Linked DNA regions of Mus musculus: regions 1, 2, 3, 4, 6 and 7 are each reported to be linked to region 5. Evidence: microRNA targets listed by miRTarBase, many of them from high-throughput screens and not tested one by one. Region 5 holds a microRNA gene; each other region holds the end of a gene's coding sequence. Distances are between the middles of the regions.

Region 1 (4,066 bases), not on the chromosome of region 5:
CAGGTCACCCACCTGCCCAGCGGCTATGGGCTCACCTACCGCCTGACCCCCGGGGTGCACGAGCTGCCTGTTCAGCAGCCCGAGCAACACATCCTGAAGGTGTCCATGAAAGAGCTCAACAAGAGTACCCCTCTCCTCACCGAGGGACAGGCCATCTGCTTCACCATCCTGGGCGTGCTCACCAGCCTGGTGGTGCTGGGCACCGTGGCCATCGTCTTTCTCAACAAGTGCGAAACCTGGGTGTCCAACCTGCGCTACAACCACATGCTTCGCAAGAAGAAGAACCTCCTGTTGCAGTATAACAGCGGCGAGGAGCTGGCGGTCAATATCATCTTCCCCGAGAAGATTGACATGACCACTTTCAACAAGGAGGCTGGTGATGAGGAGATCTAAGCAGCGTTCCCCACCCCCACTCCCAGGCCCTTCACCCCACCCCACCCCAGGCCCTTCTCTATTACCGGGGTTCCTTAGAGCTCTCTACGCAGTCTGCGCTTTTTGTGGTGGAGTTTGCTCTATTGTGTGGAATCGAGTGAACGCTATGCTTACATATATTGTCTTGTGTTGCTGTGTGCCATGCTACCACGCTATCTAAGAACCCCTTCCTCCCTATTAATGCATGATAATGAATAATAATAATAAGAATTTCATCTCTAAATGAGTTAAAGAAATAAGTATGTTATTCTAAACTCTTATCAAGTATCAAATATAAAATATCAAAAAGACCAAAAAAAAACATGGTAACAGAACCAGGACTTAGTGCTGAGGTCCCTCTCCTGGGGGGGGTGTCAGCCACCAGGTCCTCGTGAAACCATAAGAGTGTTGTGCTTGACCACTCACTGTGAAAAGGGCTAAACTCTTTCGTTCGTTAATTCTCACGCACACTCACATCAAGTCTCACACCGCAACCCTTAGATCTTTCCGATTGATTGTGACTCTGCAGTGTGTAGTGGCTGTGTGCCAGGCAGAGAGAGACCCCAGGTTGGCTGCTGGCAGAGAGGTCGGGACCTAGTCCTAACCCAGCTGCGCACTCGCTGTGTGACCCTTGGCGAGATTCCCCCACCTCCAACCCTGGGCCACTTCCCCACCCCTCCCCATAAGGGAGGGGTGCAGACACCCAAACACCAAAGTCCTCTCTAGCTCCCAAATTCAGAATTAGGAACGATGGATATATACCAAAACACTTCTTGACTCCAAGAGTAGGACCTGATGGAGACTTGGTCTCATCCTGGGATCCGAAAGGTTTTGGCCTATCCTGGCTGTACACTTGATATTGACGTCGATCCCGATAGCGTTTCTCAAAATGGGGAGCCTCCTGGCTCATGTCCAGTTTGGGAAAAATTGGCCCCTTTAGGTCAAAAATGTGCCATTTGGTGTTGCCTCTTGAGCAACCCATTCCCTACCCTAGCCCAAGACTCCACCTCATGCCCCTCAAACCCCACCCCATATCTGCCCCTCACCCTGATGTAGAGTAGAGATGTGCTTTCAGACTTCAGTGTACCTCGAACCACAAGTGCCCCCCCCCCGGGCAGAATCTGAGTGAGCAATGCAGCCCCCACCAAGGTTTGCACAGGCTTTAGTGACACTATGGCTTGTGGGGTGTTTTCTTGTTCTGTAGCAAAAGCGGGAAAGCAGCTGTCCACAGCCATGGATGTACCTTTGTGTGGCTGAAGTTAGGACCCTCAGATCCCCAAACACCTAGCCAGCTTCTTAAGTAGAATTTTGACTTATTTTTTAAAAGAGCATCTATCTTTTTTTTGCAAAACAAAACAAAAAAACAAAACAAAAAAAAAGTAGAAAGAAATGGGAGAGAGCCCTGTGTAGCTCCCTGACTCTTGTTTGGGGTCTGGGTGCTACACAGTCCTTGGGTCCCCGTTAGGAATATTTTGCTTCTTAGATTATTTGGGTAGGAACCTATGCTCCTAAGCTTTAAGTGTGAGCCGTGTTTACCTTGCTCTGAGTACTTGCTTGCAAGTCATTGTCACCGTTGCTGTTCGAATCATGATCACAGCACACACTTCATGGTCATCAGCCATTGGTCATACGCGTCTCCGTTGTCACACATTATCGACCCAATCACCCCTCCAACCTCTACCCCAGGTTCATTTCACCCAAAGCCCTGACTCAAAGAATCTCTCCCCAGCCATTGGTCATTCATTACCTTCAGCCCAAGCCCCTTCCAGTCCCACCCTGAAACCCCTCCCCCATTTGGCCCCAGCCTCATCCTGATGAGGGTGTGTCCCAGCTCCCCAAATCTCCACCACCTCCCATGTCCCTGCCTCCTAGCCCCTCTTCCCCTGGTTCCCTCCCTCCCTCCCTCCAGGCCCCTCCCCTGCCTCAATCAGTCCCGCCCTGAGGCAAACCAGCCCCATCACAATCACCTCATTATCCCATCTCATTTTGAGTTCATTTTAAGAAATAAAATCGAAAAAAATTTAAAAAAAAAGTATTGACATATGCCAGGAGGGTTTCTGATACCCTTCCTGGCCTCTCAGCGTGAGACCTTGACCGAGTCTGCGAATAATTCTGCTCCTCGGTTTCCCAATTTGGAATTCTACAATTGGACAAAACAGCCTATTTCTCCACGCCACTTTTTTTTTTTTTTGATCTCCCTGTTGTGGAGAGCAGCCGTGTCTCTGTGTCTCTCCTGATAAAGGGGGCCCGGCTGTTCTCTTAGCAACTCCTCCTCCATCCAAAAGATCCATCATCCACCATCCATCCAGCCAGGGAGTGTTTCCAAGCACCTGCAGAGTGTAAGGCAGTGAGTGTTCTTGGAGCTGTGGGATGTGCAGGCCGAGGGGCATAGTCTGGGAGGGGAGTAGACATGCATGTGCCCCCAGGAAGCCAAGCACAGGGCAGGCAAAAACCCAAAACTCCGTGGAAGCCGGATGGTCCAGAGCAGGTGCCTCCCTCAGAGTGCCACCACCTCACCTTCCAACGTGACCAAAGATCAAGAAACCAACATCAATGAGGCGGCCCCGTCAAAATTCCACGGCATCCACCCACACAACAGGAGCAGCGTTTGCAGTCTCACCCTGGTCTTCACGTCCGCAGAAAGGGTCCATCTGCGACCTCACGATATCTGCTGAGAGCATCAGATCTCTGGCTGCCCATACACATCTCCTGTGTTTGGTGTAGTGCAGTGTACGCAACGGGTGGTGAAGCTAAAAGACAGCTGTCTGGGACATTTTCAAACTAATCTGACCCCAAATTAAAAGTGGTGATAATTCTGTAACCAAAATGTCAATGAAATGTCCACCAGGGCGCTCTTTCTAGCTTCCCCCATATTTTTTCTTTGGCAGGCAAGTCCAGACGCAATGCAAAAAGAAACAACAACCTTGTTTATTGTTAAATAAAGGAACAAGGGCTTTACTTGTGTTTGCTATTTACTTACGATTCGCCAGTTGCATCAGCCCCACCCATGATGGCCTTAAACATAGGCCGGGAATATTGGGACCTCCATTGAGGACCAGGTCCAACTCTTTCAATGTGGCCTGGTGCCACAGGGTTAAGGGTGGGGGACTTGAAACCTCAGCATTTCCTAATTACAGGAGGCCTGAGACCACCAGGAGTTGGGGGACCTTGTCCGTATCTTGCTCCCTCCTTGCAGCCCATGGGAGGTGGAGATAGAGCTGGGACAATGGAGGTACATGAACAGGGGCCCTAGGGATCCACACATGAGCAACAAGCTCTTCCTGCTCAACAAGTTTGGACCCAGAGAGAGCTCTGTGCACTCTTCCCTGGCCTTTCTGGGGTTATTAGAGGGTTGATGCTAAGGTGAGAGAGAACATAGGTTAAGGATATCCAACAAGGGCAACTTGGACCATGGCAGGTGTGCAGGCTCCTTTCTCTCTCCTAACTCAGTCTCTGTGTGTCCTGGTAGTACCTATTCCTCTAACCCCAGGACACCAGTAGCCATGCGTCAAATCAGCGGTGCACCCTCTGAATACGCCACTCTGGAGGCCTTGGAGGCCTCAGTCTAGTTCCTACTGGCCCAAGAAGTGATCTTTGCTCTGATATCCCATCTCCAGCCTCTCCCATGGCCTGTGTGCACCCTTGCCTGCTCAGC
Region 2 (4,066 bases), not on the chromosome of region 5:
AGCGCCCAGCGCCCAGCCCCAAAAACGAAAGCCCCTTCAATAATGAAACCGAAACCCCTTCCCTATTTAGGAGAGTTATATTTCGCCTAGGACGCATCACTCCCTGATTGGCTGCAGCCCATGGCCGAGCTGACGTTCACGGGAAAGGTAGAGTACAAGTAGTCATAAAATACCCTTGGCTCATGCGCAGATTATTTGTTTACCACTTAGAACACAGGATGTCAGCGCCATCTTGTGACGGCGAATGTGGGGGCGGTTCCCAACATTAGGCCACTTCTCAAGCCTCTTCTCCCAGACGCGGGGAAGAGACAGGCCCAGTGCAGACTTTCTTCCTTCAAACTTACTGAGCAGGTGCCTGAGAAACATTGTGCGTATGCATGATCTGGAAGAATGCTTATTTCTCATTTTGGAGTGCCAGGGACAATACAGGAAGTGTCTTTCTAATGAGAGTTCATTAAAGTGAAAAGAAGAGGGGCTGAAAATGTCAGCCGGGCATATCTGAAAAGCCAGAGCTTGGCAGTAAAAAGCCACATGTGTTCTACTTAAATTGTTGGCATCAAGGAGACCGGGCATCCTGGAATTGCAGTTGTCCAACTTGACTGGGTGTGCCCCTGTCAAACTAATTTATCAATTCCCATTGTTCCCCCTTCTAGGAACTAATGTGCAGGAGGCTCAGAATATCCTCAAGAGCAGCGGACTCCCCATCACGTCAGCTGTGGACCTGGAGGATGCAGCCAAGAAAGCTGTTGCCAGTGTGGCAAAGAAGTGATGCTCTCCCTGGCTCCCATGAAGAAGGGCATGTCCCTGACTACTGTGAAAGCAATTGTTTTCTCACTGGGAAGGGACACACACAAGGATCATCATGTGAAAAATATTAACTCTGAACTTTCTCAAATACGTTATCCAGAGTGCCTAAAGCTGAATTTATACTGTAGTCATTGTTTAAAAAAAAAAATCACTCCTTACAATTTCACATCTTCTCTTGCCCATTCAGTAGCAGGGTCTACCAGCTCTGGGCCACAGTCAGTTTAGCCAAATAGTGTGCATACATACAGTATTTAAAGCCAGATCTAGGTTCATTCACAAGGGCATTTATTCTACATTAGAAAATTTTACAGGACCCTCAAGTTCAGACAGGCTGATATTTAACATAGTGGCTTCCAGAAGGGTACAGCTAAGACACCTGAGCTTCTGTGACCAGTGGCCTCCACTGGCCCCTAATTCCAGTACATTAAGAAAGCCCATGAACATTTCTAAAGTGTGGCTTATATTGGGCATCCCGTGTTGATATATGTACATTGCACACATTTTACCCTGTGCCTTAATGTTGAATCTACTGTTTGCCTCACACTAAGTTACTACCAGAAGCCTTAGTCATGGGTGTGAGGTGGAAGGTTTCATTTTGTGTCAGAGTTGCTGAATGTTAATCTATTTCATAAAGAGTCACACTAATGATCTAGCTGCTGGTAGCGGCCAGGCTTTTCCCTCTTGTCCCCTCCACCTCACATCTATCAGTTTGCCACAGAAAGATGAGAGATGCCATTGGACAGAATGTGACCTTCCTAATGATGTCCTTTTTTGTGACAGGAATTTTCTTAACTTGATTTTTTTGATTTAATTTTGATAAATTTATAGTCCTATACATTTTAAATAAAATTGTTTTTCAGTGCTACTTAGCCTCACAGTTCTTGTTTCTGTCTGTTATCTGTTCTTGTGAAGACACTAGCCTCTGTGCCAGAGGCCTAGCTCTAGTTAAGAAACTGCAGTTGACCCGGATTGTTCCAGCGCCACAGTGCCTTGCCATGTGACCATTTCTGTGGTGGTGATTCAGTGAAGGGCTAACATGTACACATTAGACACAAGCCCAGGAATCTGTCCCTGACGGTGGTCAGGGTGGTGTGGTGCAGTCACGCACTGTGCCGTGTAGCAGGGGCCACGTCGGTGTAACAGTCTTCCCATCCGTACGCCCCGGCACAGCGAGCCACACTTTATTTCATGTTAGCCTCACACAGTTCACAGATTGATAAAATAAAAAGTCTTCACTTGATAAATCCACATGTGCCGTGGAGAAATAAAGAAACATCGACTAGATCAAATCCTGCGTCTTTTCTCAAACATGACAAGGAGTGAAGACTATTGACAAGGTCTTTTTAAATCTCCTGTTTTCTGATAGCTGACTAACTAGTTTGCACAGTTAAATAGAAGTAAATGTGCATTTCCTCAGTTAGCAAACAATAAAGGAACTGTGTCTATCTTGTATATTGATGTTTCTAATCAACCAGTTTGGAGGGGAAAGAAACGAAAGCATACGTGTAGTTATTTTATAGAAGGGTTAATATTAGTTAATAATAGGCAAATAGTTTTTCTCTTCAAATGAGCTTCCTTTTCTCTCTCTTCCTTTCTTTCTTTCTCTCTTTCTTTCCTTCTTTCTTTCTTTCTTTCTTTCTTTCTTTCTCTCTTTCTCTTTTTCTCTCTTTCTCTCTCTCTTTTTCTTTATTTCTCTTTCTTTCTCTCTGTCTTTCTTTCTGTCTGTCTGTCTGTCTGTCTTTCTGTCTTTCCTCCTTTCTTTCTTTCTGAAGTGCCAATTGTGTGTGTTTGGATTGCTCAAATCCCCGATGTTGTACCAGTATCATGCCTGTATCCTGAAGTGTGTGGAACGGACCCTGCAATACTTAGTCATAGAGAATCTGCTGCAGCTATGCTGTTGGTTCCTAAGTCCCCCTATGTGCCCTACTCTGGTGTGTCCCATGTCTTGAATTTCTTAACAGCCTGTAACTATATAAAAATATTAAAATAGTTACCTTTCAGTCTTGTCAGTAGTGTGGGGTGTGTGTGTGTACACGCATGTGTACATGCGTGTGTACAGAGGCCACATGAGGATGTTGCATGTTCTGTTCAGTTACTAGGCCTTACTCACTTGAGGCAGAGCCTCCCACTAAGCCTGGAGCTAGACTGATGGCCAGTAAGTGCCAGTGATCCTGCTGTCCTGCCATCTCTGTTTCTTACAGAGCCAAGGTTGCAGGCATATGTGCCATGCCCAGCATTTTCTGTTGATGCCAGGGATTGTACCTCAGATCCTCACGCTTGCACAACGAGCACTGTTTCCCACTGAGCTGTCTTCCTAGCGCTCCTTATCAGTACTTTGGCTCTGTAAAAGCACAGAATGTCCGTGAAAAGAACGGTCTAAATATCCAAAGATGACCCCTGAACTGCTCAGTGTGTGTGGGTTTGTAACTGGCTTGTTCTTCTACTGTTGATGGCCACAGTTTCCTAGGACAGATACTGTATTTAGAGATTCGTCTCTGACTCTCCCGCTTATTACCATCCATTTCTTTGACTTGGTTAGCCTATTGCATTTGTCAGTCAGAGCCTTTCCGTTGGGGTTCTGTCTCCATTCATAAATTAGTAAACCAGCAGGGAAAGTTTCCAGATAACTGGACCTGGCTAGACCTAACCTAACCAGACCTTCGTGTGCATGGCTTTTAACGACTCCTTGTACAGTATGTGTCTGTGTCCTCTCTCTGCTTACTCCTCAAGGAAAAGAAAATCACTGTGAAGAACTATGTTTGTTTTTAAATTGGAAACTTGAATACAAATGGGAATAAAAATTCTTTTTGACACTTCTAAGTTATACATTTATAAGTCTAATGAGATCCTTGGCAGGATCTAATATATATTCAAAAATACAGTGATAGAATTTATAAAAATAGTAAAAAATAAATATTGGAGGAGTGGGGCAGGGTGTGTTATTACATAGACTTTGTGACCTGAAGGTGCCGAACTAAGGCAACAGGGCCTATTAGAGTACATTAAGTTTCTGTGTGTTATGTGGCCATGTGTATGCTACAACAGCTCACATAGTTGTCATAGAAACCTCATGACCCTAAAATATTAATCTCTGGCCCCTCACAGGAAAAGCATCTTAACCTCCACTTTAGATTTCAAAACCAAACCAAAAGCCAGTGGCCTGTTCTTGCCTTGGAATTGGGAAGGGCAGGTGTCGGCATCAAGGTGAAACAGAAACGAAAAAGTAGGGAATATGTTTTTCCTAATTTTGACCCTATGG
Region 3 (4,066 bases), not on the chromosome of region 5:
TGTTTGTCTTCCACTCCACAAAGCCAAGTTTCATCTGTTGCATCTCCTACAGCAGAACTTAAAGCAGTGCCCAGCAAGAGGAACCATTCAGAAATATTTGTTGCAGAAGTAAGTTCATGTGGCAAAAAGAACTTAGCCAACAGAATACATAAGACCAGTTGGAATGAACTGGTCCAAGAATGACATGCTGGACTCTGGTAGTACTTTGAATGAGAATGCTTTCCATAGGCTCAATGTTTAAGTGCTTGGTTCACTATTGATGCCATTGATTGGGAGGCCTAGAAAGTGTGGCAGTGTTAGAGGAAGTCAGTCACTGGAACCAGCTTTAAGAGTTTAAAGACTTGAATTATTCCGAGTTTATTCTCTCTACTTCACGCTTGTAGTTCAAGATATGAGCTCTCAGCTTGTTGCTTTAGTAGCCATTCCTGCCTGCTGCCATTCTGCCCCGTCATAATGGTGATAAACTCTTATTCTTTGGAGCCACAAGTCCAAATAAACCCTTCCTTCTCAAAGATGCCTTGGTCATAGTGTTTTATCCCAGCAATAAAAAAATAACCGATACTACTGTCTGCATTTCTATTGCCATTCTGGTATTTCAAAAGCCTAGTGGAATGGCCAGTAATCTCTGAGTATAGCAAGCAAGGACTTGTTGCACCTATAGTTCCAATTTCTTCCACATTATTCCCACAAACTAGTTTCAAAGGCTTACAAATGGTAAAAATATCATTGCAAAGAACCCACTTCTTGGTACCATTTCCTTTATCAGTTTCAGAGTTTTTTTATACTGAGGTACTTGCTCTATTTAGAGTTGATTTTTGTACAGAATGGAAGATAAAGTGTAGCTATATTCTTCTGTGTATAGACACACAGTTCTCCTAGCATCTTTTGCTGAAGATTCAGCCTTTTGTCCTGTCTGTATTATAACTGGGATCTCTACTTTATCCCACTGGCACACATGTCTATTTTGGTGCTGCCACTATGCTAATTTTGTTATTATGGCTCTCCAGTATAGTTTGAAATCAGCTATGGTGACACTTCTAGCAGCGTTCCTTTCGCTTAGGATGACTTTCATCATCTGGGTTTTTTTTTTTCTTCCAAATGAATTGTGAAGACTTTTTTCCTAATTTTATGAAGAACAATATATGAGCTTTCATTGGTGTCACATTGGCTCTGTGGTCTGCTTTTGATAGAACGGCCACTTTCATAATGAAATGCTTTGCATCTATGAGCAGAGCAGATCTTAGTGTCTTCTTCAGCCAGGCAAACGATGTCACCATTGACAGCCCCCTGGGGGTGGGCGTTAAATTTCACTGACAACTGAAATACCTCTACAATGAAAATGGTTAACACACTGAAGAAAGAAAGTGAGTGTGTCTGCTACTGGTTATAGGGGGTTATTAGGGTGTGTGTGTGTGTGTGTGTGTGTGTGTGTGCGCGCGCGCGCGCGCGCGTGTGTATAATTTTGCATCCGGCCACTTCACTGAAAGTAGTTTTCATTTCTATGAATAATGAAGATTAAAGGTCATTTTTAACTTACCAAACTATGAAGCCATTTCTATTGTGGTTTAAATTATTTAAAATTGATAATGGGTCAAGTCAACACTTCTCTGGCTAAATATATAGTTACATATAGAGAAATGAGTCTTTGTTTGGGCTTTCTGGGTTATTTGGTGGAGATGCCCGTGTGAAGTGGGAAAGTAGGAAGTACATTTATTGCTGTGATGGATTTCTGTGGTTTCTCCTCAAGGGTAACAATAATCTGAATATGTTCACTTATTTCACAGGCTGGCCTATGTTTTCTGCCCAGTACTCTCCTGGGAGCTTATGAAAGAAAGAAACATTGAATAATTTCCCACACTAAAGCTCATTACACACTAATGTAAAACAGTAACATCAGTAGCAACTATCTATAACTATCTAACTCCACAGTACCCCTAGGTCCCATTTGGATAAGTCTGATAGCCTTGCCTCCATAACCCTTCTGGCCACAATGGCAGCCAGGAAGTATGGTTTTCTTCTACCTCAGCTCAAACCCTGTGCATAATCCAGCATGCACAGAGCTTGCTGCCCATTTTAAGGATGGGAAAAAGTTTTGGGTTAGGCCAAGTGACTTGCTCAAAATCACACATCTGTTAAGCTAAGTATCTCTGACGCCAAAACCCAATTAACCACATAAACCCAGCTCTGGCCGAGAATTTGAAAGGGGTCAAAGGAGGTTCATTTCCTTGTACATGTGGTTCCCAGCACCAGAAGAAAGTTGCCGAGAATCAGTGAAGAACCCTTAGTAAATTCCATTAAAATGTGATACATGATCAAATCTTACTTATAAACGTTAAAGGCAGTGGAATCTACCACATATGGAGTTATTTTGAATCATAAGAAACCTCTGGGCATATAATTATTTTAAAAATCTTTTTTTCACATTTTCTTTTTCAGACAGAAAAAGAAAAGCTTCACAGCTGGGCGTGGTGGCGCACGCCTTTAATCCCAGCACTCGGGAGGCAGAGGCAGGTGGATTTCTGAGTTCGAGGCCAGCCTGGTCTACAAAGTGAGTTCCAAGACAGTCAAGGCTACACAGAGAAACCCTGTCTCAAAAAAAAAAACAAAAAAAAAAACAAAAAAAACAAAACAAAAAAAGAAAAGCTTCGTAGAACTAGTTATAAGACTTTGCACAGGAGAAAAAGCAACAGAATGCCTAAGGGGGTCAGAAACCATAGCAACCAGACACTGGAAATTAATAGCTGAAATCCAGTGGAAATCTGCACCAGGACATGGGAGACTTCTTTCAGATCCTTACAAATTAATAGGTAATTTATACTTAGAGAAAACTATCAAGGACTCAGAAAGACAAACCTAGTTCACACAAAAATGCAGCCTGTGTCATTTATATTGGAAGATCTGGTGGGATGGTGGGACACAACCCCCTGTCTAGGAAGAGCAACAGATTTGCCTGGATGCCCCAAATACTGTGACTCCTTGCCCTTGGGATCAGCTACACAGAGGGATGGCAGGTGAGTAGATTAGCAAATGCTTTCTCTAGCCACCCTATGTCGCACTGACTGGATACAGGCACTAAACCGTCAGTCTAAATGTGCTGTCTCCAGATGTTCTAAGTGAACAGGTTATTCAGATATCAATACAGGAGAGAGATAAAGAAAAACAGAGAAACCGGTCTCCTGATGTCACATATTTATATAACAGTATTCAAGACAAAACCCATAGTTAATATCCTCAATAATACAATTCTATGTTACTTATAAACTTTGTTACAGTTTGTGTCACAAAGACCTTAGTTAAGGAAGTCAGGAACTGGGTGGAGAACCTAGGACTTTATTGCAGTTCTCAGATTTACCCAAAACACTTCCTGCTGGCCTTCATCCAAGGGCCACTCCAGGTAGGTCTTGGTGTTCATTATCTTGCGCAGTTTGCAGAAGCGCTGGGGAATGGCTTTCCTCTCAATGGGCTCCAGCAAAACAAGGATGGCCGCGTCGTTGTTCTCGTCAAAGAGCCTGAAGTGGGAGAAGTCCAGTTCGTACTTGCACCACTCGCTCCGTACGAAGTTCTCAGAAAGCACGAACACAGTTTTGTGGCTCTTTTCGATGGAATCGATGATGTTGTCAATGATCCATTTGCCCGGAACGAAGTCCCGCTTGTGGAGACACAGCTTAAAGGGCGGGTCAGAGTTCTCCAGCTGCTGGACCATGAGGTTCTCCACCCAATGGGAATCCTGCTCACTGTAGGAAACAAAGGCATCATAGCAAACGTCCCTGCAGGGAGCTTTCTTGGGCTTCCTCTTGGCCTGGAGCCACGCCCACATCATTCTCAGGTACCACAGTCCGTGGAAATGGTGGCACAGGGCACCTACGAGCAAGATCAACAGGAGAAGGGCACAGCAGACTCCAGACACCAGTGCAGCCTGGTGACATTCCAAGACGGAGGGCCGGGCATCCTGAAGCCTGTGGCCGTGCAGGCGAGGCGGAGAGTCACACAGGTAGCTGTCTGGCCAGTCAACCAGGATTTGAGCCAGAGCTGGCGTCTCCATAGTAAAGGATAGGAGTTCGCAGGA
Region 4 (4,066 bases), not on the chromosome of region 5:
ATTATAGTAATAGGCTTCATGGATATTTTCATCCAATCATACTGTATATTTGTCTCTGTTTACCCTTTCTGCATTTCCTTTTCCTATATAATCCTCTTCTAGTTTCATGTCATCTATCTTTATAACTATATCAACATGTAAATATATATATACACTCTAAGACCCACATGTAAAAAACCTTATCTTTCTGACAATGGCTTTGATAGTTTCTTTAATACAATTTGCTACAGCTTGATTCATTTTTCTGCAAATATTCCTTTGTTCTGTAGATATCTGAATAAAACGCCTTTGTGTATGCATACCACATATTCCTGACCCGTTCCTCCACTGATTGACATTTAGTTTGGTTCCATAGCTTAGCCAATGGAGAACTATGGAGCAACAGAAAATGTGGACCCACAGGTGTCTCTGTGGTACGCTTTGAGGTACACCTCAGAGTGGTACAGCTGCATTGTACGACAGATCTAGCTTTAGGTTTTAGAGGAACGTCTCCGCAATCTCCACAGGGACTAGTTTTTGTTCCCGACAGCAGCGTGGATGGGTTCCTTTCCCCACATCCTTACCAGCATTTGCTGCTGGTCCACTTCATTGCAGCCTTTCTTACTGGGATGAGATGAAATCAGTGTGGGTTTTCTGTTTGTGAGGGTTAGGTGTTTTGAGCACTTTTTCCCCCTTATACTTAAGGCACTCAAACTTTACTGTTTATGTGCTTGCCCACTTATTGAGCTGTTTGTAGTTACTTTTTTATTGCTGTGATAAAAAAAAAAAAAAAAAGACCGTGTTCAAGGCAGCTCATAAAATAAAGTGCTTTATTGGACCTATGGCTTTGGAGGGTAGAGTCTATGATGGTGGCAACAGCTGAAAAATTCTTAAAACACCTGCAGGTAGGAGGTGGGGGAGGGGTGTCTTTTGGAACCTCAGAGCCCATGCCCAGTGACACACCTCTCCCAACAAACCACACCTCCTAACGCTTCCCAAAAATTCCCATCAAGGACACTGCAAGGGTCTGAGCCTATGGGGCCATTCTCATTCAAACCAACACAGAGGTTGTGAGGTGTGTGTTAGGCGAGAGTGTTCAATTCCTTTTGAGTTCTTTAGAGGCGTTAGTGCCCTGTCAGCCTGGCAAAGGTTTCTTCCCTGTCTCTCGTTGCTTCTCGTTATCTGAGGAAGATTTTGAATTTCATACAATCCTCTTCATCGTTTGCAACTTTTCCTTGAGCTGGAGCACTTGTCAGGAAACCCTGGCTCGTGCCTCTCTCTGCATGTTTTCCTCTCTCTCACTGACAGACCCGAGTTTCAGGCCTCCGGTGCCATTGCTCCCTTTTGATTTTTGTACGAGGTGATAACTAAGGATCTACTTTCATTCCTCTACCTGTGAATATCCAGTGTTTGTAGCACGGAATTGGTGACGTTTGGCTTTTCTGGTGTGTGTGTTTTATATTTGTCAAAAATTGGGTGCCCACAGCCAGGAAGTTTTGTCTTGGCCTTCTGTGCCATCCCATTCCACTGGTTTATGCATGGTTTTGTGCCAGTACCATGCTGGTTTTTTTAGATTTATTTATTTATTATATGTAAGTACACTGTAGCTGTCTTCAGACACTCCAGAAGAGGGAGTCAGATCTCGTTACGGATGGTTGTGAGCCACCATGTGGTTGGTGGGATTTGAACTCCGGACCTTTGGAAGAGCAGTCGGGTGCTCTTACCCACTGAGCCATCTCACCAGCCCATACCATGCTGGTTTTGATGCCATGGCTCTGTAGTGTAACTTGACATATTATGGGACCTTCCGTACTGCTTTTTGCTTAGTATTGCTTTGGCTATTTGGGGTCTTCTGTGCTTCTCTAAGTTTTAGGGTTGTCTTTTCTGTTTCTGTGAAGGTTTGTCCCTGGAGTTCTGCCGGGTTGCAGCGGATCTATGGGTTGCTTTTGGTAGTATGGCCGTTTTCACAGAATTAATACTGCAGACTGGTGAACATGCGAAGCCCTTCCTGTAGTGTCTTCAGTGTTTTAAGGTTTTCCGTGTAGAGGTCTGTTCTCATTTGCTTTCCGTTGCTGTCACAAACCAAGACCAAAAGTGGCTTGAGAAGGACGGAGTGTATTTCATCTAATACTTCCAGGTATTACACAATCCGTCATGGCGGGAAGGTAGGAATATAAGCAGAAACCACGGGGGATGCTGCTTACTGGCTTGCTCCCTCTAGTTACTGCTCAACTAGCTTCCGTAAGCAATCAGGATCACCTGTCTTAGGAGTGGCACTGCCCACAATAGTCTGGGCCCTCCCCTATCAACTGGCAATCAAGACAATCCCCCACAGACCTAGATACAGGACAATCTGATCTGGGCAATTCCTCAACTGAGACTCCTCCTTCCCAGGTGACTTAGCTCTGCCACATTGACAGTAAAATCTAACCAGGCCAAGGTCTTTCATTTCTTTGCTTAGTTTTCTTACTTTTAAACCCATTTTTATTTCTGAGGCTATTGTGATTGGGACTAATTTCCTGTCTTCTGTCATTGTTTTATAAAAAGGCAGCTGATGTCTGAATGCTGATTTTGCATCCTGTTGCACTAAGCTTGTTTCCTTGGGGGCCCTTTAGGTCACCTATGCATAGGACCATGCCGTCTGCACACAGGGTAATCGGGCTTCTTCCTTGCCTATCTGTGCGCCTTTCTTTTCTTTCTCTTGCCTTATGGCGCTAGCTAAGGCTTCAAGCACCATATTGAGTAAATGGAGTGGACATGGTTGTCTTATTTCTGACTTTTTAGTTTTTCCTTTATTGTATGTTGGCTGTAAGTCTGTCATACGCAGCCTTTATTGTGTTGAGGTATGTTTCTTCTATTCCCAGTTTCTTCAGGGCTTTAATCATGAAGGGATGTTGGACTTTGCCAGAAGGCTTTTCTGTTTACTGAGATGACCATGTGATTCCCGTCCTTAAGTCTATATACATTCTGGATTGTATTTATTCATGAATGCTGAATTCAACCCTAACTACTACTCCAGTGTCAACTTTGACCACTTAGCTTGTCTGTGTAACCCCTACTAGAAGGAGCAGGTCTGTTCCCATGTTCAGAACACTGCACATAATATACTGTCCTAGCTTAAGACACTGCCCTATAAGCCACCAATTACTTATGTTTCTCTCCACTGAACTGCAATAACTTGAAGGTAGAACCTACCACCTTTCTGATAACCAGGACTTAACAGAGCCTGAGTAACACAAGAAGAAAAGTTCTTAGAGTCCCAAAGTGTCACAATTCCCTAGGCTCACACCAATGCTTTGACCTTTGTCATGAGGCTGGAGAAGTGGCTCAGTGGTTACCAGCACTGGCTATTGTTCCAGGGGAAGTTTGGCTTCCAGCATCCACAAAGCAGCTCACTACCATCTCTAACTAATTCCTGTTCCAGGGTATCTAATACCCTCTTCTGGATTCTGTAGGGCACCAGTCATGTAAGCAGTACACAGATTTTACACACAGGCAAAACATTCAGACATAAAATAAAAATCATGTAGAGACCTCCCCCCTTTGATCTCAACATGATGCTCTTTTATATAAAGGCACTTTATTTAAAAATCAACTTGTCTGTGTAAACAAGTCACTCTCCAAGTTCTACTATTCGTGTTTTGGAGCAGAGTGTTCGGTATTTTTCTGGGCTTACAGAGTAAACTGACATGGTGTTCAAGAACTTGTCCAGTGGACAGAGCTTGTCGGGGCAGCCCCTTGGTACCTGCTCCTGGAAAAGAAACAGAAGTCAGCAGGTCTGTAGAGAGCTCCACCCTCTGCCCTTAGTTGAGCCCAGAGGCTCAGCCACACAGTATGGATGAGCACACATGTAACAGCCAGGAAGACCCAAGTTTCCAGACTAAAAAGCATTGCATCCTGACTGACTAGATGAGAGGCCTTAGCAGAGTTCTGGCCTTGAGCTGAAAGAGCTAATAGTCCCACCCCTGCAGAGTACACAGTTCCTCTCCTAGACATCAATAATGCTGGGTTAGCCAGGGCACCAAGACACCTCTGTGACTTCCTAAAACAGGCCTCACAGTGAGAAGGTACAGCCTGGCAGACACAC
Region 5 (4,066 bases):
TGCCCCATGTCTGCTAGCCATGCCCAGATTGGTCCTGTGCCCCTGAACTGAAGCCCCTAGCCTCCACTGAAGGGGGTGCAATGAAGGTGAGTGAAGGTGATTGCTACTCAACCTGGGCTGGGGCACAGGGCAGCTTGCCATGGGCTTTACCGCCTATCCACTCTCCAGCCCACCTCCCTTACCATCCTCCCCACCCCGATCTCTGCTCACAGCCCAGAAGGTCACTGTGGTCAGGAGCCAACTCTCCAGCAAGGGCAGCGGTGGCACAAGAATGGAGCTCTAGTTCCAGGGGAGAGGCAGGGGGAATCTTCCCTCTGGGAAAAGAGCCAGGCTGCAGTGTAGAGCACCCCCAACAGAGCTCAACGAGGGGCATAGTCCTGTGCCCCCTAGGAACCTTTACACTAGAGGACTGATACCTCTACCAATTCCTTCAGTATTGCTTTGAGTTCACCTTGCAGCTCTTCTGAGGGAGGAAGGGAAAAAGAGACAGCAAGCCCAAGGTCAGAGCTGTGGTATGCTTGGGCCCCTTCTCCACCCTCCAAGAGGCAGAGGTTCTGCAGAGGCTCTGCTTTGGGGACAGGATGCAAAGGCACTAGTGGTCTATGAGTGTGTGACTGTGTGCATCTCTCCATGGAGTACTGAAGCAGTCTCCCTGCAGCATCTCTTTGTGTCTTCACGCGGGCCCTTTTGTCTTGCTTTTCTGCAACTGCACAGGACTTGAGGCTAGGAGAATTTGGGCGGTCAGTTCTGGATCTGGGTCAGAGCCAGGAAAGGGGCTCACACTCACCCCATGAAGATGAAAAGCAAGTCTGCAACTTGTCTGAGGGGGTGGGGGTGCAGAGGTTGTGACCTCCTCCACTGACAGTCAATCCTAGGTCATCAGTTTCCAACCTGTGTATCAGGACTCCTTTGCCAAACTCTATCTCTAAAAATATTTACATTAGGATTCATAACAGTAACAAAATTGCAGTTATGAAGTAGCAACAAAATACGAAGTAGCAACGAAAATAATTTTATGGTTGGGGGGAGGGGTCACCACAACATGAAGAACTCTATTAAAGGGTAGCAGCATTCTGAAGGTTGAGAACCATTGCCCTAGGTAATAGGGCCTGTAACCTTGGGGATCGGAAACCTTGCTGGGAGGAGACATGCCAGAGCAGAGTCTCATACCAGGACGCCAGCAGGTGGCGCTGGCTGCCGAGGACAGGAAAAAAAATGCCTGCAGCAGACCTGAGTGGGTGTCACTGCGGCTGCAGATGGTGGTGGGGGAGGGAGGAGGAGGATTTGTCATTTTCTCTCTGGGCTGCAGAGCCTCACGTGCCTCGCGTCCCGCATAGCTGGAGAGAGGTTTGGGGGCGGGATGCGGTCCAGTGTATCCACCCAGATTTAGACCTTGGATGCAGATGCAGATCCCCCACTTCCACAGCTCGAACCTCAACCTAAGGTTCAGGGGTTTCTTCAGAATCAAAGTGATCACCGCCTTCACCCTGCGACCCCAACTAGAGCGCCCAGGGGACAGACTGCAGTGACCCCAGACCCTACCCCATTTCTCTGGGGTTGCTGCGGCAACTATCCAGGGCCCCCTAGATGGGAACAGTGATACTCATGACATCCCTTCGCCCCAAGCGCATTAGCGCCCCGTCTCTCTGGGTGACTCCACGGCCAGCACCGAGGACAGCGCCCAGGACTGCCCGTGGGTAGCGGGACGCGCCAACACAACCCGGGAAGCTGCACACTTCCCTCCCGCGCCCCTCAGCCCGCCGCTTCCCCAGCCCCTCCCTTTGTCTTCTGGCCCTCGTCTCCCTCTTCGGGATCTCGAGCACTCAGAGCTGCGGACACACGTGGTCAGGGGCCGGGTGGCCACATTCTCCCCCGCGGTCGCCCCCACCCTTCTCGTGACGTCCTAGGCATGCGGGCCCCTTTGTGTCCCGCGGCCAGATCCCCGGCCCAGCAGCTGGGCCGCCCTCTGGGCGGGCGCATTGTTCGCCGGATTTGTCCGCGGAGCGAGGGGCCACCGGGGGCCGGGGCTCGCCTTTTTCCCGCGGGAGGGGCGCCGCGACGGCCGGGCTCCCGGGCCATTTCCATGAGAAAGGAGCGGCGGAGGCGCCTCTCTTGGCATTCACCGCGTGCCTTAATTGTATAGACATTAAATCAAGGTCCGCTGTGAACACGCAGAGGGGCCCTCAGGGCTGCGGCGGGCGGCGAGCGGCTGGACCGGGTCGGGGCCGGGCTGCGGCTTGCGTGGGGTCCTAGCCTGAGGGGCGCGAATGCTCCAGCTTCTTCGCCGCGGGGCGGGCGGGCGGGGCGGGGCTCCGCGCTAAGCTGGCAGTGCTGCCCTGGTCCGCCCCCAACTCCGAGGAGCCAGTTTTCCTTCCCCTCCCCGAGGTAGAGAAGGGCCCGGGCAAATCCCTCGGGGCGTTCCTGCAGTAGGGACCCCTCGGAGCCGCGGCGAGGGAGATGCAGGAGCCGGCCGGGGTGAGCGCGCGTGCTCCGGCCTGCTGCAGTCTTCTGACGGGTGCAGAGCCCTCTCCACCCCGGCGGCGCAAGCCTCTCCGCAGCTGCCCTTCCCCGGCTCCTCTTCCCGGCCCCACCAGGAGTGCGTGAGTGCGGTGAAAATAAAGAACCTCGATGTTCGGAGATGAAAAGCAGTCTCTTTCTACAACCCGCCGAGCTCTCTTCTCTTACGCCTCTGGCTGGCGAGAAGCTGCTCGAGGAGAGAAAGACGGGGTGACCTGAGAGACCGGCTCGCCCCGGCACGGGCCGCCAGCGCAGTTACCCGTCCGGGCGCGAGCCGCCGCCGCCTGCTGCTTCTCGGTTGCCGCCTCCGCTCCGCAGCACAGCCTGCGCTGTCGCCCGATCCCGCCTCCGCCTCCTTCTTGGCGCCCGCAGGACCCGCACGCTACGGCCCCGGGTGGAGGAGAGCGCAGGGACAGTGCCAAGGAAGCCGGGCAAATTCCTGAGGGCCGGGTGGGAGCCCGGCGTCCGCGAGGTCGGCACTGCGGGAGTCTGACTCCCACTCTCCTTGCCTAGACCGGGTGCGACCGTCCCCGCGCTCGCCGCCGCCGCCGCTGCCTCCGCTCGTATCCGCGCTCGGCTCCGGCACCGGGCGATTATCACTGGGGCGCGCGGTGACGTCACCCGACACCGGCTCTGCCGCCTCCTCTCGGAGGTGTCCTTGAGAACTGAGGGGCACGCGCACCGCGTACACGCGCACTCACGCACCGCGCGACCCGTGCCTCCCGCGCACACGCTCGGCGTCCCGCTCCGCGCGCTCCTCGACTCACACGGATGCAGCCCTCGAACGCCTTCGATTGTGCCCGGCGCCCCGGGGTCACACGTATGCAGAGAAACTGCCTCTTGGACACTCTCGAACCGCTCATTCTGTCCTACTGCACGACCCACGCAAAAGCTTCTCCCGCAGCCCACCGACCGCAGCTCCTCTACACCCACCACCAGCCACACCCCGCTGTGCAGCGAACACACTGTGCTTGCCTCACACAAGCGGCTGGTCCTTCCGGAATAACCACTCTACACAGTGGCTTCTGAGCCTCTCTCTCCTGGGGGGGGGAAAGAAAGGGGTCCTAGCCTCCTGCTGGCGGCCCTATGTGGAGAAGGGAGTTAGACATCTCCCCCAACCCCCATCAGAGACTGCTCCCCTTTTTCACCCTTTTTCTAGCTGGGTAGCGAGTCCTTGCTTACGAGGATGGGAGAAACACAGTCCATACTTCACAGTTGACTGCAATTGAATCTACTCTTTGCAGTCTATTGAAGGGTGACTACCTTGATCTGGGTCTTTAGGGCTAGAGATCAGCGGCTTTCCAAAAATAAAAAACAAAAAAAAAAAAAAAAAAAAACCCACGCCACTCTAGGCCTTCCCAGCGGGCCTTTGTTCCTGCAGACTGGAAGAACCACACAGAAGTAGGCAGGCCTCTGTCCTATCCTTTCTCCCTGGGCCAACCCAGCCCTTGACCACCTGCCCTCTAACAGAAGCTAAATGACCCAGGCATAAATTCTTCCCCCTCCCTTTCCAACCTTCTCCAGCCCCGTGGGAACCCCCGAAGACACT
Region 6 (4,059 bases), not on the chromosome of region 5:
GCCGCCATGGGGGATTCAATACCTCATTCCTGGGTACAGGTAAGTAGCCACTTTTTCTTATTCTCCAACCAAATAGGTCACACACACATACGACTACAGTCTCCCTAGATGCCTGGTATTTCCACAGGCAACCAAGAACGGAAGCAGGGGGAACAGGAAGCGGAGGATAGGTGAGGTCTACACCTCCCCCTTAACAGCTGCCAGCACCTTCTGACACTGCCTAACACTACTCCTCCTGCTTCCTCCTAAGTCTGTGTGAACTGGATACCAGTTTCCCCCACACATCTTTCTACCTAACGTCGTATAAGCCTTCTTCCTTGTGGCTTGAATTCTGGTGTTTTTCCCCTCTGTCGTGCTCTGAGTACTTAAGTTTGGACACCGTGGTAACTGTCCCAGCCTTAAAACCCAACAGGTGTCTGTACATTACCCTGCACCCACAACCTTGAAGAATTGTCTCAGCGTAATTCCCCGTTAGCAGCTCTAACACACGCTTCATCTCCCTGCCCACCAGGTCGGCCAGTGAGGATCGGGTCTTGTTACTGGATGGGTCTGGGGAGGAGCCTACACAGACAGGTGCTCCAAGGGCCCAGGCGCCACCCCCCCAGTCCTGGACGGTGGGTGGGGACATAATGAACGCCAGGGTCATTCGAAACCTGCAGGAACGCCGCAGCACCAGGCCTTGGTAACCATGGCCAAAGCTTAGTCCTCAGTATGGATGCATTCATTCACTCATTCATTCAACAGGCCTGTCAGCCTCAGATCCTTTGTATCGTTATTTTTAACCAGAGCAATAAAAGTATTTATTTGTTATCACTATAGCTACCGACAAAAAGTGACTTGTCATTATTCAAATTCACATGCCCCTCAGTCTCTCTCCTGAAACTATATTCAGTCCTACCTCCCCTCATTTTGCTAGGCCTGACAAGAGGCTGCGCAGGCGCCCTGGGAGCGCCCCGGCCCGCTGTGCGCAAGCGCACTCCCGCGTAGCGGCGCCTGGGCTGCTGCGGGCCCGCTGTGCGCAGGCGCACGGTCTCTCCGTTTTCCTCCCTTAGCCCCGGCCCCCCCCTCCCTCCTTTCCCCTTCACGAAGCCGGCTCCGGGGCGCGCTGCCCGGCGAGGAGACGGAGACGGGACGCGGGAGGCGCCCGTTCACTCCCGGAACACCATGTACCGTCCGAGCCCGGGGGCCGCCCGGCGCCTCGGGCCCTGCCTCCGCGCCTACCAGGCGCGACCCCAGGTGAGGAGGGGCGGGCGGAGACCCTCCTCAGAGCCGGCCGAGGGGCGGGGCGCCGGGCCGCGCAGGCGCAGAGGCCCCCGCCGCCCCTGACCACCCGTGTGCTGCACGTGTGAGGGGCGCGGGGCCCGCTAGGGCCGGCGTTCCCGGTGAGGTCCGGGGAGCGGCTATCCCGGGTGGCCCCGGTCCCCGCCGTTCTTACCTGTGCCTGGAGGTGACTTGAAGGGCAGGGCAGAGAGGCCGGAACTGCGGGCCTGTGGTGCACCTGCAGAACGGTCCTGCCCGAAAGGCTGGCCGCTGCACCGGGTCGGGCTCCGGGGGACGGCGGGAGCACGGCCACGCCCCCGGCGACGGGGAAGGCTCCCAGAGGGCTCGGCCAGGCCCCATGGACCCCCTGCCCCTGGGGTTCCTGGGCGCCAAGGGACTTGGAATCAGGCTTGACCTCGGGTGACCTGCCATCCTTGCAGTAGCAGCGTTAGTGACCGAGTTCACCCTTCAGCAATCGGCCCGATTGTCATTTAATGGTGCAGAAAATGATAATATAGAATATATATGTAATATATAATGATAATAGCTTCCGTTTATGTACTACTTTATGGGTGACGAAGTTTATACATTCATCATCCTGTTATATAGGCCTCTCCTCTATTTACTGGAAACTGAGGTGCAGGCAGAGTGCCCAGAGGTTCCAACAGAGTCAACTCAGAACTATTCACACCTTCACTTGGATGTTCTTTGCCCTGCACAGCTCTATTTCAGAATCCTGATACATGTTATATATAGATCGCATCATTTCTCCCATGGAGCAGTAAACCAGGATAATGATGGAATCATAGGTGTTCTTTCTAAAGTTGGGGACGGTGGCCCTGGTGCTGTTGTCCTCCTGCGCTCTTTCCTCATGTCTCCCTTTCCTCTGGTAAACTCTCTTCTGCAGGTAGGACTTGAAGCTTCTGATCAGCCCAGCTGGGGTGGAGGAGCATGAGCTGATTTCTTGTTCCTTTGTTTGGTTTTGTTTTTTAAAACTAGGTCTGTGTAGCCCTGGCTGGCCTGGAATCCATGGTAGCCCCTACACCACCATGCTTAGATGTCTGATTTTTTTCTTTTTGTTCTCTTTTCCCTAGGACCAGCTCTCTCCTCGACCTCTACCATTCCCCCCGCTCTGGCCCCACTCCACTCCACCGACTTCTCCATCTTTTCCTCCTCACCGGTCACTACCACCCTCACATCCTCCTACCCACCATCTTCCCCAGGCTCCTCCACCACCTCTCTCTCAGGCCCAGGCTCTCAACTCATTGAGTATGGTTCTTCCTCCGAGAAAGAGGGAGAAGGGACCAGGACCGGAACTACACAGTGGTTGCCTGGATGGGCTTAGGAGCCTTTTTGAGGGACCGCCTTGCCCCTATCCTGGGGCTGTGATACCTTTCCAAGCCCCTGGACCTTCCCACTCTTCCCCCACCACTCCATCAGGAGATGAGAGTATGGAGGAACACCTGGCTGTCATGCATGAGAGACTAAGACAAGAGGTAAGCAGCCCATCTGTAGCAGGGAAATATGGAGACTAGTCAGTTAACTTGTCCTCGTTACTGTGCTGTGAAATGCCTTCTTGGGGAAAGGGTGTCCCTGTTTGAATTAAGGACCATTAAATTGAAAGTGCCGTTTCACTTGGGGCGGGGGTGGGGGAGGGTGAGTGGAAGTTAGAAGACCCTAAAGATAGATTACTGAGGAGCCAAACTGGTTATACTCTGGAGGTTGAGGGAAGAGGATTCCAAGCTCAAGGACTGAACCTTTCCTGCTGAGTTGATGCCTTCTTCTTCCACCTAGCTTCCCACCCTCTTCCTTCGCTCCCATGACTACACTATATATTCAATGGATGTGGAATTCATCAATGAGATCCTGAACATTCGTACCAAGTGAGAGTTGGGACGAGGGAGGGAGAAGAGGACCCATGCTAAATAAATACTTGGGTCTTGTCCCAGAGAAGGTTCTAGCTGCTTCCTGAGACTGTTCCCCCACACCTTGGCAGAATCAGTTTTGGTTCTGCAGTCCTGATATTCCTGTCCCTTTATTCTCACAGGGGCCGGACATTTTATGTTATGTCCCTGACCCTTTGCCGCTTCCTGGTTTGGAACTATTTTGCACAGTTTCGGTTGGAGATTTTACAGCTGACCCGCCACCCTGAGAACTGGACCCTGCAAGCCCGCTGGCGTCTAATAGGTCTGCCCATACATATGCTCTTCCTGCGTTTCTACAGGCGTGATAAAGAGGATCTTTACCGGTAAGAGGGAAGGGGCCGAAACTACAGTGGCTTCCCTAATACTGCTGGTCTTCCAGCAGTCCTTAACTTACCCTGATTTGGCTGTCATCTTACTGAGGGTAGAGATTTTTAGTCTATCTTTTTAAATTTTAAAATAACATGTTTGTGTGCATGTGGTAGTGTACATTAGAGCAAGTGAGTGTTTAGAAGACAGCCTGTGGGAATGGGTTCTGTCCTCCACCATGCACACCCTGGGGATTGAACTCAGGTCCTCAGGCTTGCCTGCAAGTACCTGTACACAACCATCTCAATGGCCCAGCCTGCTTTTCAAAAAGTTAGTGGATTTTTGTGTCTGTTAAGAACTCAGTGGCGGGCTGGTGAGATGGCTCAACAGGTAAGAGCACCCAACTGCTCTTCCAAAGGTCCTGAGTTCAAATCCCAGCAACCACATGGTGGCTCACAACCACCCATAATGAGATCTGACTCCCTCTTCTGGTGTGTCTGAAGACAGCTACAGTGTACTTACATATAATAAATAAATAAATCTTTAAAAAAAAAAAAAAAAAAAAAAA
Region 7 (4,066 bases), 110 Mb from region 5:
TCCGTACATGTAGCCTTGGCTAACCTGAAACTCCCTATGTTGACCAGGCTGGCTCAAGCTCAGAGATCTACTTACAGGTGTGTGCCGCCATGCCGCTGTAACGGTGAAAGGCAGGCGTGGTGGACCCACGCTATCAACGAGCAATAGGACATACTCTGTCTTGACTAAAGGAGATTCCACCAGTGTTGAGTAGAAGGCAGTGCCAGTTACACTAAGCCTTTCCCTACTGTTATTTCTACTGTGGAAAATGACTTACTTATACAGCTCTTCAAAATTATCCACCAGTTCTCCAGCACATGTCAATCATTGGCAGTGTATTAGAAAAGGGAAATCTAGGATAACTCTAAGCACACGAACTCTACCTGCTTTGCCCACTAGGCTATCTACAGTGCAAGCCTGCCTCAAGCACTGCTAGGAGATGGTTGAGAGTGCAAGACACCTGGCTACAGTTATTAGTGTGGTGTATGTAGGGGATGCGCATGTGCACAGTGCACGTGTGGAGAACCACAGATAACTCACAGGATGGTTGGTTCTTTCTCTAATTCCACCATTCGTGCTGAGGAAAGATCTCCAACCCTATCCCTAACCCAGGCTTGATGGCCATGCTTTTACCCACTGAGCCAGTGCTGGCAACTAGTTACAATTCGTTGAACCTGTACAGATATTGAGTCTTGATGATGAAACAGACTGCTGTCTAAAGGACACGAGTATATTTCTAAGATCCTTAAGTGGCTCAAATTTTTTTTTAAAGCTGATCCATCTTTTCAGTTTTCAGTCACCCCGAAAATGCACCACGCTGCGGTAGAATTCTGCTTCTATGTCTTCATGTAGAAATCTCAGTGTAAGACACTGACCATTATTAAATGTAAAGGCATCAAAACCAGCCAGCATTTGGAATTACAGTGTGGAATAGTCTTTTATTTTTCGAGACAGGGTTTCTCTGTATAGCCCTGGCTGCCCTGGAACTCATTCTGTAGACCAGGCTAGCCTCAGAAATCCGCCTGCCTCTGCCTCCCATGTGTTGGGATTAAAGGCGTGCGCCACCACTGCCTGGTGAAATATTCTTACAATCCTTTCCTACACTACACTGGCACACTCACTAACTGCCCAGGTTATAAAAATCACTTGCTGTCCATTCCCCAACCATCAACTCTATTTTCATACCTAAACCACATAAAACTATCGCTGGCAGACAAAATGGCTCACCTTAAGAATCTAAAAACCTTCCAGGTGTCTTTAAAAGTAACTCTGGAAAGCGTCCCCTAGAGCTTTGTCACATTGTCTCCATCCATTACCATTACAACAGAGCAAAAAGGTGCTACACCTTAAAAAGAATCTAAAGTAAACTAATTTTAAATTCTTCTTGTCTGAAAACATTTCTTAGCTCTTAAGCAGAGAGGGGGATAATTTTTTTTAATTCCTTGGAGAGGGCAAAGTATTTCACAAGTAAAAATAGTACGTTTATTGACAGTTGTACAAAAGATTCCAAAATATTTCATCATTGCAGTAAAGTGTAATTGAAAGCTAGTAAGTGCAATACACTGAATAAATGCCACTCAGGAGCATGATCTATTATTTCTTACAAAGTCCTCAATTAGAAACAGCAGGTATACGGTGTATATTTTCCAACATTTGGTAGTATTAGCTAAAAACCCTGGGCCAATAGGACCTGAGTTTCAGGCCCCTCACCTCTCAGCTAAGGATCTGGGCTGACCACCCTGGCGCATGCTCAGGCTGCATGTTCCTATCACTGGCACCAAAGTTCTATTTTGTGCCATGTCACATGATTTGGCTTTTGTATTACAGATGTATGTATGTGTAGGACACAGAGTGAAGACTGGATAAAACATGTCAAGAGTGACATGTTTTAACTCACTACATTTTCCAAACCAAACCCCCAAATCCCTCTAGGCAAGTGGCAAAGCATGTTTTCCAAGTACTTCCCCATCACCTAACAGAGGAGGTTATAAATATCCCAGACAGTGGACAGTGATCAGCAGAGACAGCTCAGGCTGGGGCACCAATTCTGTGTGACTCTGGGTCACTGAGAGAGAACCCAGGTGTCATTACCTGCTCCATAGGTTTGTATTCTAACACAAATAACATCAATACTTCAAAGCGTTTGTTGCAGACTTTAAATCAACACATAGCTGCAAATGAATTCTGTAGTTAATATAAGCTGACTTTTCTTTGATTTAAAAAAAAAATCTGGATATTTTAGAAAAATACATGTTCTTAGTCACCACTGGAAACCAAGGTGGCTGAGCCTTTGGTCACCTGACCTCTCGCTGTCACCCTGGTCTTCCCGCTAATGCTTTAGCTTGCACCAGGCTTGAGATTCAGATTATGTCCCCTAATGTGTAGCAACCCGACAAGCTTCCCAATCTAGTCTGTCACTCTGACAACAGCAGTAGTCACGATTCACTCCCAAATATAGTTCCAGCCAGGCCAGCCATGAGCCTCACCTGGTCCCTGGCCTTCAGCCTCTGGATCCCTGGGTGGGACCCAGAGAATCTCACGCTCATCCTCAGATCACCTCAGCAGTCGGTCAGCTCGGCCTGGGCCACTTGGTGCTTCCCAAACAGTTTACTCTCTGCTGCCATTTGGCTTGTTTTGGGACTAACGTTTCTCTTGTAAGCCAGATGTGGTGGCACACCCTTCTCATTCCAGCGCTCAGGACACCGAGGGCTTTGTAAGCTCAAGGCCAGCTGGGGCTACACAGTGAGACTTTGTTTTTAAAGAAAATCCCTTGTGCTGACAGTAAACTCGATAACCACGCTCTGGACTTAGCTCCATGGGGAACCAGTCATTACAATCCACTGCAAAAAAATGATGCCATGATCAATTCATTTCAGCACTCTGACAACCTGTGTGGGTTCTAACGGATCACTGTGTTGTTCTTCGTGGGAGATAAGAAGACCATCTGACTAGGTGTCACCACTCACAGATGATAGAACTCCAAAAGCAGAGAGGCCGCTAGCCAGCTACTCCACGTTCTTCAGATGCTTCTAGCAGAAGTAAGTGAAAACTTGAAAGAAATACTCAGCTTCCTACAGAAACCAGGAACTTCACACCCCATACCATACCAAGGGTAGTTGACCAAAATTATGTGTGTTCAAAACCACGCCCAATTAACCCAACACATCAGAATACAGTTGGCATAACCGATCCTTTAGGAGCTTCAGCAAACACTAATTGTGAAGATCACACGTGAAATATTTGGAACAGTGTGGTTCCAAATACATGTCTTCCAAATTTAGCAGAAACCACATGTGGATGTGCCAGGCGTCCCATGTGCGTTTAAGAGCTTCGGAATGTGGTCATGTCTTTCGGCTCTCGGCTGGGCACACACCAGTCGTCAGCCTCGTGGTTGGCTTTGTAATGCTTCCAGGCGGCTTTATTGTACACAGGGAGTCTCTCGACGGATTCTGTCGACAGAGCCTGGGGTTGAAAAGAAGTCAGACACTTCTGAGAGTTCGTTATCTGAGATAATATACAGTGGCAAACAGCGACCACAAAGTAAACAGGGTTCTGCTGGCATCTCATCAACTAGTTACTAACCACACACCATCTTCAGGGTGGATACATTAGGAAATGCTATTTACTACAACTGGAGCACTGGTAACACACTAGTTGGGTTTGATGCTTCAGGTATCCGCTAGCCAGCCTGGAAAAGTCTACCCAAGCAGAACAGACATCTCTTGAAAAGTGCAAGCCCAGCCAGGAGTCTGCTACTACTACCTTAATATTCATACACAGATTTATTGAGAAGAAAGCCAATCTTTTTCACTATATAGTAATGTATTATTAAAAGCGTTACTATGCAGGAACGGAGATGGCTCGGTGGTTAAGAGCACTTGTTGTTGCACAGGAACTGGGTTCGGTTCCTGGCACACACATGCTGGCTCACCACTACCTATGACTCCGAGCCAGAAAACCTTATGCCCTATTCTGACTTCCACACACACCAGGCAGACATGTAGTACAGAGACTCACATGTAAGCATAACACTTGTACACATAAAATAATCTTCTATAAAAATTAAAAACTGAACACACCAGTATTG

Evidence for each region. The annotated mature microRNA mmu-miR-124-3p reads UAAGGCACGCGGUGAAUGCC and lies in region 5 at 2,115-2,134, opposite strand. An mRNA with a match to its seed (bases 2 to 7 or 8) in the 3' UTR can be bound and repressed. Matches are read on the target gene's strand: a 7mer-m8 pairs with bases 2 to 8, a 7mer-A1 pairs with bases 2 to 7 and ends in A, and an 8mer does both.
Region 1: miRTarBase lists Dlk1 as a target of mmu-miR-124-3p. The part of its 3' UTR that is shown has no 7-base or 8-base seed match.
Region 2: miRTarBase lists Suclg2 as a target of mmu-miR-124-3p. Seed matches in the 3' UTR shown: 8mer at 1,317-1,324 and 7mer-m8 at 1,793-1,799.
Region 3: miRTarBase lists Tlr2 as a target of mmu-miR-124-3p. The part of its 3' UTR that is shown has no 7-base or 8-base seed match.
Region 4: the mRNA of Acp6 is a reported target of mmu-miR-124-3p. Seed matches in the 3' UTR shown: 7mer-m8 at 3,552-3,558.
Region 6: the mRNA of Atat1 is a reported target of mmu-miR-124-3p. The part of its 3' UTR that is shown has no 7-base or 8-base seed match.
Region 7: the mRNA of Pdk1 is a reported target of mmu-miR-124-3p. The part of its 3' UTR that is shown has no 7-base or 8-base seed match.

Annotation. Positions count from the first base shown.
Region 1 is chr12:109,459,968-109,464,033 of GRCm38, forward strand. It overlaps Dlk1 (delta like non-canonical Notch ligand 1), which reads left to right. Exons shown (of 5, transcript NM_010052.5): 5 at 1-3,369. The coding sequence ends at 393. Among named protein-coding and RNA genes, the nearest start is that of Dlk1, 8.5 kb to the left of the region's middle.
Region 2 is chr6:95,471,752-95,475,817 of GRCm38, reverse strand. Suclg2 (succinate-Coenzyme A ligase, GDP-forming, beta subunit) reads left to right here. Exons shown (of 11, transcript NM_011507.3): 11 at 654-2,809. The coding sequence ends at 769. Among named protein-coding and RNA genes, the nearest start is that of AY512915, 140 kb to the right of the region's middle.
Region 3 is chr3:83,833,098-83,837,163 of GRCm38, forward strand. Tlr2 (toll-like receptor 2) reads right to left here. Exons shown (of 3, transcript NM_011905.3): 3 at 3,175-4,066. The coding sequence ends at 3,323. Among named protein-coding and RNA genes, the nearest start is that of Tlr2, 6.5 kb to the right of the region's middle.
Region 4 is chr3:97,175,995-97,180,060 of GRCm38, reverse strand. It overlaps Acp6 (acid phosphatase 6, lysophosphatidic), which reads right to left. Exons shown (of 10, transcript NM_019800.4): 10 at 3,485-3,730. The coding sequence ends at 3,593. Among named protein-coding and RNA genes, the nearest start is that of Acp6, 19 kb to the right of the region's middle.
Region 5 is chr2:180,892,151-180,896,216 of GRCm38, reverse strand. It overlaps Mir124a-3 (microRNA 124a-3), which reads right to left and starts at 2,177; the gene lies at 2,110-2,177.
Region 6 is chr17:35,894,368-35,898,426 of GRCm38, reverse strand. Atat1 (alpha tubulin acetyltransferase 1) reads left to right here. Exons shown (of 13, transcript NM_001142744.1): 11 at 1-39; 12 at 128-170; 13 at 512-832. The coding sequence ends at 686. It overlaps 2310061I04Rik (RIKEN cDNA 2310061I04 gene), which reads left to right and starts at 1,049. Exons shown (of 6, transcript NM_001033630.1): 1 at 1,049-1,236; 2 at 2,355-2,756; 3 at 3,055-3,143; 4 at 3,308-3,508. The coding sequence starts at 1,165.
Region 7 is chr2:71,899,359-71,903,424 of GRCm38, reverse strand. Pdk1 (pyruvate dehydrogenase kinase, isoenzyme 1) reads right to left here. Exons shown (of 11, transcript NM_172665.5): 11 at 1-3,441. The coding sequence ends at 3,301. Among named protein-coding and RNA genes, the nearest start is that of Pdk1, 28 kb to the right of the region's middle.